3 linked regions of the Canis lupus familiaris genome follow. The protein of the gene in region 1 purifies or fractionates together with the protein of each later gene. This does not show direct contact. Links are inferred from orthologs where the notes say so. Each region holds a gene or a part of one and is shown on either strand. Other genes may lie near its edges. The genes, in order: CUEDC1, TOM1 and SMURF2.

Region 1 (3,647 bases):
ACCCCAGGGCTGAAGGCTAAACCGCTGCGCCACCGGGGCTGCCCAAGATTTATTTATTCATTCATGAGAGACACAGAGAGAGGCAGAGACACGGGCAGAGGGAGAAGCAGGCTCCCTGTGGGGAGCCTGATGTGGGACTAGATCCCAGGACCCCAGGATCACGACCTGAGCCAAAGGCAGACACTCAAACACTAAACCACCCAGGCGCCCCAAAGCTCTTTCTTGGTTAGGGAAGAAGCCTGATCTTTGCCCCATTCCTCAAAAGGAAAAGTTAGGCTGAACCCCTGTCCTGTGGTGACGGCCCTGACATGTTGCCCCCCTTCTCCCCGGAGGGCCTTTGGGCAGCCCCTCTCCCTCTCCAGCCTGCCCTCAGAAGTGTCTTCCCCTTTCAGGAACCAGTGATGCCAATCCTGCTGTGTCTGAAGATGCCTTATTCAGGGACAAGTTGAAACATATGGGGAAATGTGAGTCCAGCCTATGCCCTTTCCTCATCTCTTCTAAGACAGGCCTTGTGGCCTCATAGGAGGGAGGTAGCCACCAGGAGCTTTTTAACGTAGCTGACTCTTGGTGAACCAAAGTGACATTTTAATCGCACAGGCTGGCTCCCTCAGCCTTCCTGCCTGTCTTCTCTCTGCAGCTGAGTCTGGCTACAAATTAAGTTTTAAATCCTCTTGAGCCAGCTGTCTGCCGAAAAATAATAATGTGCTGCACCCACCCCACTCCCACCCCAGTTTTAGAGTTCACAGCCTTTGGTGGCTTGAAGGCACTTGGCCAGGCCTGATGAGTGGGGAGGCCCGTGCTAGGCCCCCTTTCTGTGGGCAGGAGGCCCGAGGGGTTGGTGACCTCTCCCACAAAGTCCTGCCAACCAGGACACACCTACCACCACCCCCACCCCTCCTCCCCCCACACACAAGTGTGAATGAGGCTGCCATCCTTCCAGGCTCCATTTCAGGGAAAATCTCGGATTAGTCATGGAAATCCCAGAACCAACTCTGGAGGTGGTGAAGGGGGGCGGGGGAGGCGGCGGGAAAGACAGCCAAGAGGCTCGCTCGCCCGCTCGCTGTCTCTCGCAGCTGGGGCAGGAATACCCGGATCTCGGCTGCCTGCCTCGGTGGCCTCTGCTGCCCCTGCAGGGCTAGCCTGCTATGGCAGCCTCCCCGCTGCCACCCACCCCTCCCTTGCCACCGCATTCCTGTGGCCCGCCGCCTGCTCCCACCCCGGGGGCGGCCCTGCGGCTGCGGCTGCGGCTCACGGGTCTCTCTGCCCCAGCCACCCGGAGGAAGTTGTTCGAGCTGGCCAGGGCCTTCTCCGAGAAGACCAGGATGAGGAAGTCAAAGAGGAAACACTTGTCCAAGCACCAGTCGTATCCTTTCTGGCCTGGCTCGGGGGCGCTGAGGGCGCTGACCCCCTGGCCCAGCTCGAGGCTGTGCCCTCCCCTCCCCAGGGCTGCGGCTGCCCCTGGCCTGGAGCACCATGACCAGGCTGGGAGGAGGCCAGCATCTCCACTTCCTTCCGTGGGCTCCTCCCTGCCCAGTTGTCCCACGACATCTCCACTTTCTCATTGGGCTAATCTGCTCTTGAGAGAAAACGTGGTTCTTCCACTGAGCTCAGCAAACCCTTCCCTAATATCTTGAGTTGAGTTGATGCATAGATCTTGCTGCCTTCCCATTTCAAGCACATTGGGCCCTGCCTTCTCACTTTCAGGGCCTTGAGTAAAAATAAGGTTCTGCACGTTTTCACACAGACTCCCCACCGATGCTTGTCAAATAGGGCCCAGAATATTTTAAGCTGAACCCCAAAGGGGAATAGGGAGGAAGTCCCTTCTCCATCCCCAGTGATGGGAGCTGGGTGAGAAAGTCAGGGCCTGGCTGCTCACCAGACCCCAAGGAAAGGAGGCTTTGGGGAGCACTGGGGGCTAAGGCTGGTACTGTAGAAGAGTACTGGCTGGTACTGTCCTGAGCTTGGAGTGGGTGGTGGAGGGCCAGAGACAGGGAGTGGTAGACCTAGGAGGACGATGGCAGTGCCCACCCATCTCTGAGACAGTTTTCCTGAATGGCCCGGCAGGCTGGGAGCTGCAGTGTCAACGGCTAATCTTCTGGACGACATGGAGGGCCACACTTGTGGTGAGGCTAGGAGGGCAGGGGAGCATGAGCTGTAAATCGCTTGTGACTGGTGACTCTCCAAGAGGAGGGTCTGGGTATTTTGTGGGTGGACCCAACCTGGGGGACACATCGTGGGTAGGTGGGCAAGTGACCTGAAGAAATGGGTCCTCCTACTTGGTTTATATTGCCTCTCCCTTCCTTCCACACCCAGAAGGGGGCCCCAGCCGCACCTCCACCTAGATCTCTGCCTGGAGCACAAAGTGTCAGGTGCTGTTTCTGGGGACTCTTCTCTGAGGTGGGAGGGGGCAGACAGACCTACCCACGTGGAGAGGCCTCACCTCAAGAACCAAGTGCTGTGCAGTTTCAGTCTCTGTGCCCAAAGAACTTTCAGCGTTCATCTAGTCCCTCCCAAAGGCCATGTGGGTTGGGAGACACTGCCTTAGACCCTAGCAGGCCCAGAGCTGAACCTCATCCTCATGCCTCAGAGGCCCTTTGGTGGTCAGGAGACATCCAGAAACAAGGACTAGGAGGGTCTTAGAGGCCATATGGAGGGTATAGCTCCCCCACCCATTCTACAGATGAGGAAGCTGAGGAAAGAACTTGTCCAGGAGCTCAGTGATGGAACCAGGCCAGCATCCAGTTGTCCTAACCCCACACTCTGCTCCGGTGCCTCTGGGCACACCCACACATCCCTGCCCCACTGCAGGATCAGGAGGTGCCCCAGCAAACAAGGGGGATGGAGAGAATTGGGTCAGCCTGGGGGACCTGCCTGAGTGAGGTCCTGCGTGGTGGAGGATGAGGCAACTTCCCTCTGCTTTTCAGATGAAGACTTCCGTGGAAGGAGGCAGGAGGTGCCCAAGGCGGAGGAAGCCCTAAGGGAAGGACAGTAAGAGGTAAGGCCTAGAGCTACAGCTGACCAGAGACTGCCCGAGGCTGGGCCTGCTGTGCCCCGGACCCCAGCTGTCCTCCCAGGGATCCAGAGGCATTGGGTGCAGGCATCTAGATGGCATAGATCCTGGTTTTCTTCCCTGTTCTTGTGGCAGAGGACACAGTCTTCTGCATGGAAGCTAGTCTTTTGCGTTTCCTTTCACTTTTTGGTTATTTATTCATTTAGCAAAGTAATCACACCTGCCTGTACCAGACCCTGGGAACAGGAGGGGAAAAAGTCAGGTTTGACCTTAATAGTTTACAGCTTGTTTGAAAGACAGTCCAGGACACACACTACACAGTCAGAAGATGACTTGGGAAAAGTTGAACCGGCCTCACCAGCCCTGTGCTCACATACACATACACATACACATACACATACACATACACATACACAGCCCTGTGACTGTCCCGTTGCTGGCTTGGGGTGGGTGACATAAAGAAACAGTCTCTCTCAAGGCAGCTGTTTCTGGCTAGAGCCCTGGGCCCTCAGGCTGCTTCTCCTCTTCTGTGCATCCCTGGGGGCAAATCAGGGAGTGTCATCACCCCTCCAGGGCTCAGTGGAACCTATTCCCGTGCCAGCCCCCCTCCATCAGAGGATTGCCTGTCAACGCTTCC
Region 2 (4,260 bases), on another chromosome or scaffold:
AATGATGGTGAGTCAAGTAGACATAGTATCCCAGCCCTCACGGAGTAGCTAGCCTGGTGAGGAGAAGGGCATTTATGAATAGGTCTCATGAGCACTGTTGAAGCACAGGAGTACATGACTTCCATAAAGTTCTTATATTGTACAGTAAAGGTATCAGCCCCTGTATGCTCAAACAGGTCAACATAAGGAAGTGATTAACTTCTAGCTTAGGTTCTCCATCATCCTATATTTGTACAATTCCTAGCCTTTCCAATTGGGGACACCTGGGTGATTCAATGGTTGAGCATCTGCCTTCAGCTCAGGGTGTGATCCTGGGGTCCTGGGGTCTGTCTCCCCACCGTGAGCCTGCCTCTCCTGCCTATGTCTCTGATAAATAAATAAATAAAATCTTTTATTTTTTTTAAATCACATACTGTGGTGGATTAAGTACTAAAGCTCCCAGCAGTAGCCCAGACTACCAAAGCAGTGATTATTGTATCTAGACTGCATATGACCAAAAGAATAAAGCATAATAGGTCCGACCTGATCTAATGTGTGGGTGAAATATCTAAAACATGGTACACAGGAAGGTTGGAAGATAGCAGAATCCTAGAACTAGGAAAGGCCTTTGAGATTCTTAAAGTCCGTAACTTGGGGTCCACTGACTTCTGGGACCCTAGGAAGTCCCTGACGTTAAATTGTCTCTCTGCCCTTTTTTCTTCAGAAAGGTTGATGGTTTTCTTCAAGTCCTCAAAGGAGCCTATGACCTAAAAAAAAAAAAGAGAGAAGAAGAAAGTCCTTGATCTAGTTCCAGCATCCGGAAAAAATGGAAGCTCGCTGTGTGAATCACAGCCGAGGTGGGTCCCAGGCCCACCCGTGACCACCTCCGGGTGCCTCTGCTACTCCGGGCTCCAGCCCGCTCCTCGCTGCGGGTCACTGGGCTGGTTCTGTGTCCAGGGAGGAAGCGCTCTGTCGGGGCTGGGAGACGACGAGCCAGAGATGCTGTCGCCGCCGGCGGTGGGGGCGTGGCCTAGCGACGTCACCGGCGTGAAACCGGGTCTGAGCTTGCCCTGTGACCCTACCCCAGGCACTTCCCGGCTCCGAGACCCTGTTCCGCTGAAGCTCGCGGTGCTGGGCCACGCCCCTGAATAAGGCCTGGGGCGGGGCTTGGAGAGGCCACGCCCCTGGCCCGCCCAGCCCCACGTCGTGCGTGACGTCCGCAGACGCCGAGCGAGTTGCCGTGAGGTCATCGCCCTCCGCCCGGCTCGAGGGGCGAGGCCTGTGGCCTTCACGTCAGGGGCGGGGCCTGTGGCCACGCTCGCCTCCCTACGCCCCGCCTCCACAGGCGCCTCCTCGCGGGCCGTCCGGCGCGTCACGTGACGGGTCGGCAGCGCGGCGGTTGCCGTCAGCTGATTCCCCCGGTTGGCGGCTGAGGCGCCCGCAGCGATGGACTTTCTCCTGGGAAACCCGTTCAGCTCTCCGGTGGGCCAGCGCATCGGTGAGTCCCCGGAGCGCCGCCTCGCCCCGCCGCAGGGCCCCGCACCCAGCCTCGGTCCCCGGGGGGCCCCGGGGCGCCTCCAGGTCCCAAGCCACCCTCTGGAGGGAGGCTGGGAGAACTAGGCTGGCGTGTCTCTCCCCGACCTGGCCCCGCCCAGCCTCCCGCCCACCTTGATTGACAAAAGCCGCGCTCCACTAGGAAGCCTCGCCTTGTGGTGGATGCCTAGGCTAGCCAATAGCAAAAGAAAGGGGGCGGGTCCTGGTGGCCGCGGCTCAGCCAATGCGTGGCTGCTGGGGTCCCGAATCCGGGGAGAAAGTTTCGGGGGCTGAAGGGGCAGCGTGGTTTACGGCCCTCGGGCCACTGGCCCGTCTCCCTCGTCCCTTCCGCAGCCCGGGTCCGGCCGCCGGGGCCTGGCCGTCTCCCTCTTGGCTCGCCAGGCTCTCGGGACACAGGTACCGGAGAGGGGCTAGAAGCCCATTCGCCCAGGATCCGGAGACGCGCTTGGCGTCGGGGCCGGCGACTTGCGGGGACCAGGCCCGGCAGCCCTGCTGCGCGCGGCCCCCGGCCGGACCCTGGCGATCCCGCCAGACCAGCAGCAGCCGGCGGCACGGTCGCAGGCTCCCGAGCTGGAAGCGACCTCAGGAACCTCCTGATTCCGCCTCCTTCGTTTCTCGTAGGCGGGTGGGCCAGGCACTCTGGCCGGAGGCACAGGCTCACTCCGAGCCCCGGCCTCCCGACTCTTCCTGCCCTCTGTTGACATCGCCGCCTCTGTTTCCTCCTCACCTATAATTAGGGGCATATTAATAGCCCCTGCTTCCGTGGGGTTGTTGTGAAGCTTCAGCTCCTTAATAATTGTAAAGTACTGGGAACCGTGCCTGGCACATGGCCCTGCTAATATAAAACAAAGTGATAATATATATTTATCGTCATTGTTAGGGAGATGCCAGGAAGTGAGGGTCAGGAATCCCTGGAAATAGCTGTGTGGAGAGTCTCCTAGGTGCTCCTTGCTGTGCATCAGCACGGGGAGGAACCACAGGCCCTGGGCCACACCGCTAACACTTCCCCTTTGGGACAGCCTGGATGTGCCTCCCCGCATTAGGAAACTGTGATATTCTCCCTTCGACCTCTTGATGGCCCTTAGCGTTCAGTCTAGACTGGGAAAATTGGACCTTTTAGACATTTTTTCCTTTCTTATGGTCTTGGAAGCCAAACTTCACTTAACTGTCAACCCAGCTCTGCGATGTCATCGGCACCAAGGCTGTCAGTGGCTCTTGTGAGGTTTTGTAATCAGACTTCTCCAAGAGGAGAGTAGAAGTCCAGGATTAATTTGCGAACCAGAGCGCTCCTGGACCAGGGAGGTGAAGCTGCCCTCTGAGGAACACCCTCCCCACTGCCTGCCACACACACACCCTGCAATGAGTCATTGTTTTGGAGCTGAAAAGAGAAAGTGGCTCTCCCCTCATCTTTATTTCTCCAACAACAGATACCACTGCTCTCATCACATGCCAAGTTTGAGACTTCCTACTTTAAAACAAAAAATTCTGACCTTCAAAGTCAGCCACGTTTGCTGAACCTTTGTAGAAAAGCTCACCTGGGCTCTGGGCTTTAGCTAGTCAAAAAAAAACAGCTTCTCTTCCTATCCTGAGGGTTGCCTGTCTGTGGCAAGAAATACTCTGTCCAAAGAGAATACTACTAAGTCATAATACTTCAGAGCCCAAACCAAATTTTACTCCTGGAAGGATCCTTACCCTGGGGGTCTTCTAACTCAGGGTTCTCATCGGAATTCCCTGGAAGACTTGTTAAAGACAGATGGCTGACTGGGCCCCACCCCAAGAGTTTCTGACTCTGTAGGTCTGGAGTTTGCCCAAGAATATGCATTACTGACAAATTCCCAGGTGATGCTAATGCCACTGGATTGGAAACCACATGTTGAAAACTTCCATTCTGGCCCATCCCCTTCATTTTACACAGGAGAAGACAGAGGCTGGAGAAAAGGTGGAGACTCTGACTCACCCAGGCCCCCAGTGAATTGGTAGTGAAGTGTGATGAACTCCCCAGAACCAATGAAATTTGAACCAAAGCTGAAGAGGCTCTCAAAGTAGAATTAAATGAAGAATAGCTGCCATTTGAGCAAATGCCTTCAGTATTCCATGTTTTCTCTTTTAGAGAAAGAGATTGCCTGTGATTATTGACGACCTAGTAGTTCTGTAAACTATAGTAGTAAAATAATCTCAAGGTTGCCAACTCCACCCCCCTATTGTGAGTAGGGCCCTGTAGAATTGGCATCCCTGAGCACAGCGAGTTCCAGTGGTACTTATCAGGGATGTCACTCAACTCATAAAGCTCTCATCCACCCTCATACCCAAGCACTTTCGTGGAATGCCTGCTCCAGTGTGCATCCTTCAAAGCTCAGACATTGTCACCTCCTCCCTGAGGCCTTCCCTGACCCCCTTCCTGACCCCTTCAGATCCAGCTGTTGCTTTCATGCTCTTCCATCATCCCCATTCCTCAGGCTTCTTCATTCTCTGCCTTTGGGCTCTGAACCTCTATTTCCTCCTGGGTGGAATGGTGGCTACAAGAGCATCTGCCTCTCCGGGTTGGGTGGTAGTGAGAGTGAAGCGAGGACCACCCCCCCACCCCGCCCCGCCCCGGGAGTGCCTGGCACATTGTGAGTGAATTAGCTCTTGCTGTCCTCATCATTGTTTCTATTATTTCCACCATCGCACACTAATGGAGCCCTGTCCCATTCTGTTAGTAGTTGCACATATGTGTCTCCCCAGCTA
Region 3 (3,647 bases), about 18 Mb from region 1:
TGCTTCCTTTCCCTCTGAAGCTCTTCATTTGCAAGGCTGCTGCCACCAGTCACATCTGAAGACCTACACAGCCAGACAGGACAGCGTTGCCCGCAGCACACGTGTTGGAAGTCCACAGACAGGGAAGGCATCCTTGGAGTTGTGCTTAATTCCTTACTTGGAGAACTTGTTAGCAGACTACCCAGAAGCGTAAAGTGAAGCTATATTTCTACATACACTTTTATGGGGTGTCTTATGTTAACTGGAATTTATTCCATGGACTGCTAATCTTTTGCTCTCGGCCAGGTTTGAGGCATGAAATCTAAATTTGCATTTAGGTTGTCATCTTTTTGAATGTGTGTATATATATATTTGATCTTGAATTTATCCATTTACTTTTCTTCTCATACATTTGGCACATTGATTTTTTAATAGAAGAAGTTGGCAAAGGATTCCAATCCTGGGCCTTTTCTCAAATTGATATGCTAGCATATTAAGGAATCCAGTGTTTATCCAAGGTCAATTTCATTTTTCAAGACCCAGATTCTTTTTCTCCTGCCCTTGGCAGCTTATGTGGAGTCACCAGTGGTTCCATCTTAGGCCTTGTGGTTTACGTATCAGTTTTATTCTGAGATTTTGGAGACTCACACACACACCTACAGTGACGTGACCCACATTGACTTCTTTTGCAGGCGCTGCAGGCCCACGACTCTTCACCATACACCAGATTGATGCTTGCACTAACAACCTGCCGAAAGCCCACACTTGGTAAGTTGTTTTTGAAGCTTTTCCCCTGCATTCCATGTACGTAGGTGTTAGGTTTAAACCGATTTGAATTTGAGATTATGCAGAAATTGGTAGGAAAGCCTGAAAGTGGCAGTCTCTACTTTAGAGGAGTACAACTTTTTCTTTTAATTTTCTGTGTGTCATGAAATGTGATGTGACTGTATTAGTATACACTTGCTAGACCAGTTTGCTTATTCTGAATGAACTGTGTCAATCTGATTTGCTCATTTACAGCTTCAATCGAATAGACATTCCGCCCTATGAAAGCTATGAAAAGTTATATGAAAAGCTGCTAACAGCCATTGAAGAAACATGTGGGTTTGCTGTGGAATGACGGACTTCAAGGATTTACCCAGGACTCTATTTATACCCCGACCGACAGCCTCCTTTCAGCAAAGTTTCGCGGAATGCTGAAATACAGGAAAATGCCTCCCCCCCCCCCCAAAAGATTTTTAGGACACTGTGAGGGGAAAGGACAATTTTGAAATTCCTTTTCAAGGAAAAAAAAGAGGTCTTTATGCTTTGCCATGAGGCCACACTCAGCTGCTATTTAAAATTAATATCTTGAACCTAAAGAATGCTGACTTTTCCTACATTTCCAGAGTTAGGCAGTATTCTACACTTAAAGACTACTACTATTTTTATAAAAGGTAATCTATTCAAATTGCTCCACAGATTTCAAGTCTCTCAAACATCAAGACAACTTCAGCAGTCGGTACACGTCACATTTCATTTTGATTGAATACATGATTTTGAACAGCTCCTGTACTTGCTCTTTGTAAAAGAAAAATAAATAAAATTATTTTGAATTATTCTACCTTTGTAAACAATTGGCTAAAGGAATCATTATCTTTAAAAAACAATTAAGCCATTTACATGTTTAATTACATTTTTCTATAGCAAAGCATTATATTTTAAAAGCATTATATGTTTCAAACTAGCCTAAGTAAGTCTTTTGTATATTTTTCAAGCACGAACTTCCTGGAATACAGCCACATAATTTTGGTTGTCAGATTCCTAATGCAACCATTTAGTCTAAACTTAGCTTATTTGATACAGTAAGATGCATTCAGGGGCTCCTTTTTTTAAGAGACTTTTAAAAAAATCCTAATTTTTTTATCTTGAATCAGTATGATCAGGTATTTGGGATTTACTTCATCTTAAATGGAAATACTGCATTTTTATAGGTCCTCAGATTGTTGGATGGGATGGGATTTTCATTCTTTTGCTGGGTCAGCGTATCTTTAATATATATACTATTTCTGTAAACCAAAGTCTCCTATGACAAGTGCACCTAATTTATATTTTAATTATGGTCTAGCTTTCTATCAAGTAAACCATCCACAATCTTTGTTTAGCTGCTCAATATTTTAATCAGCTAAAATTATGACAAAGGAAAAATTTTATTCAGCCAGCTTAGAAAACCCCTGTTTTTACCTAACAAAATGAAGGTAGGGGTGAGGAGGGGGTAGGATTACTGGAGAAATAGTGATTCTGAATCTATGGTATAAATTACTTTAGAACGGAAGAATTCTGTTTTGGAGGTAAGGGAATCCCAGTTCCCTGGGTGTTGATCAGTGTCTGATTTTGAAATACCCAGATTGAGCTTTCAAGGTGTGTGGCATGTTGCATGATCCAGAAGGTAACCAAAATTCTGGAGTAAAGGATTGAAAAAATCTGAAGTCATGGGTGGCTTTTAAAATCCAACTATCAGAAATCTGCACTATATATATTTTTTCTTACACAGATGTGAATCAAGAAGGGCAAATTTTGATGAGATAGCTCCTTGGAAATGTTGCAGCTTAATTATCAAGTGAATAGGCCCTTTGTGTTCTTTCATCTGATGGATTGGTTTTCAGTCTGTGTTCACGAACCAAGGGGTTCCTCTGAGGTGCCTCAGAAGTAGTGGTTTAAGAGAGAAGGGGATGGAGGGAGAGGAGGGGCCTGGTTGGTATTTGAGTTGGAGCCTCTAACTCCCCACCCTCAACCCCTTGTACAGGAGCAGCTCCCAAGTCCTCTCTTTTATGTATTGGAATTCCAAGTAAGTTTTCCCAGAGGTGGGAGGTGGAGGCGGGCGGGGATAAAAGAAGCAGAAATTTTGCTGTTTAGAAAAAAAGAGTTGAGAACTGCTTGTGTAGTTTCGAAGCATTTGAATTTATTTCATTCAGCCAAATTGGACCGCTACATGCAAGCTAGTCGTAGTCCTGTGCGGTGGTAACGTGCTTCCACTGACCTTTTCCTTCCCAGACACCTTGTGTCTTAGTAGCACTCGAGAACATCTTGAAATGTACAGAAAAGGTTTCTAAACTCCATCAGTTGTCAGCTTTCACGGTAGTACCTTATCGGCTGCAGACTCATCTCTTGTATGTTATATTAAAGCACTAGTGCAGTGTGATTGTGCCTACTGTTACAATCTTCCAAAAACGAAGTCCATGCTGAACACATTAGAGAAGTCCTAACCAATGGATGCAGGAGTAAATGCTACTATCATAACGTACAGTAAAGCAGGCTAGTACCATCGCTTTTGAGTGCCTTTTTAACTTTATAATGATGACTTAATAGAGCTTTAAAAGAAATCTACCCTAGCAGTCTATGGTATCACCAACATGATTTATAAAGACATGATTTAGATTTCATTTTTCAAAATTACGTTACCTGATTACTTCCAAACAGGTGCTAAGCAAACTAAACCCCCACTGTGTCATTGAATCTGAGACTCGCCCCTCATGTGTAATGTGAATATTTATTTCCACACATCCCTCTTAGCTGGGTTTTTCTGCTCCCTGCCCCTAGTTGTGTTATTCCAGATATGTGATGTCACGTTTCCATACAGTGCCTCTCCATCATGAGTGCTTAATTATGAACAGTGATTACTTTGTAGA

Evidence for each region.
Region 2: the proteins of CUEDC1 (region 1) and TOM1 purify together in Homo sapiens (co-immunoprecipitation; 3 studies listed by BioGRID and IntAct, with this or other methods). This does not show direct contact. The link is inferred for Canis lupus familiaris from reciprocal best matches to the Homo sapiens genes CUEDC1 and TOM1.
Region 3: the proteins of CUEDC1 (region 1) and SMURF2 purify together in Homo sapiens (co-immunoprecipitation; 3 studies listed by BioGRID and IntAct, with this or other methods). This does not show direct contact. The link is inferred for Canis lupus familiaris from reciprocal best matches to the Homo sapiens genes CUEDC1 and SMURF2.

The regions. Positions count from the first base shown.
Region 1 is NC_049230.1:32,526,753-32,530,399, reverse strand, and holds part of CUEDC1 (CUE domain-containing protein 1), read left to right. Parts: intron 1-392; coding exon 393-464; intron 465-1,269; coding exon 1,270-1,363; intron 1,364-2,064; coding exon 2,065-2,123; intron 2,124-2,924; coding exon 2,925-2,992; 3' UTR 2,993-2,995; intron 2,996-3,647.
Region 2 is NC_049231.1:29,818,395-29,822,654, reverse strand, and holds the start of TOM1 (target of Myb protein 1), read left to right. Parts: upstream 1-1,318; 5' UTR 1,319-1,425; coding exon 1,426-1,477; intron 1,478-4,260.
Region 3 is NC_049230.1:14,572,489-14,576,135, forward strand, and holds part of SMURF2 (E3 ubiquitin-protein ligase SMURF2), read left to right. Parts: intron 1-671; coding exon 672-747; intron 748-999; coding exon 1,000-1,099; 3' UTR 1,100-3,647. UniProt on the Homo sapiens protein: E3 ubiquitin-protein ligase which accepts ubiquitin from an E2 ubiquitin-conjugating enzyme in the form of a thioester and then directly transfers the ubiquitin to targeted substrates.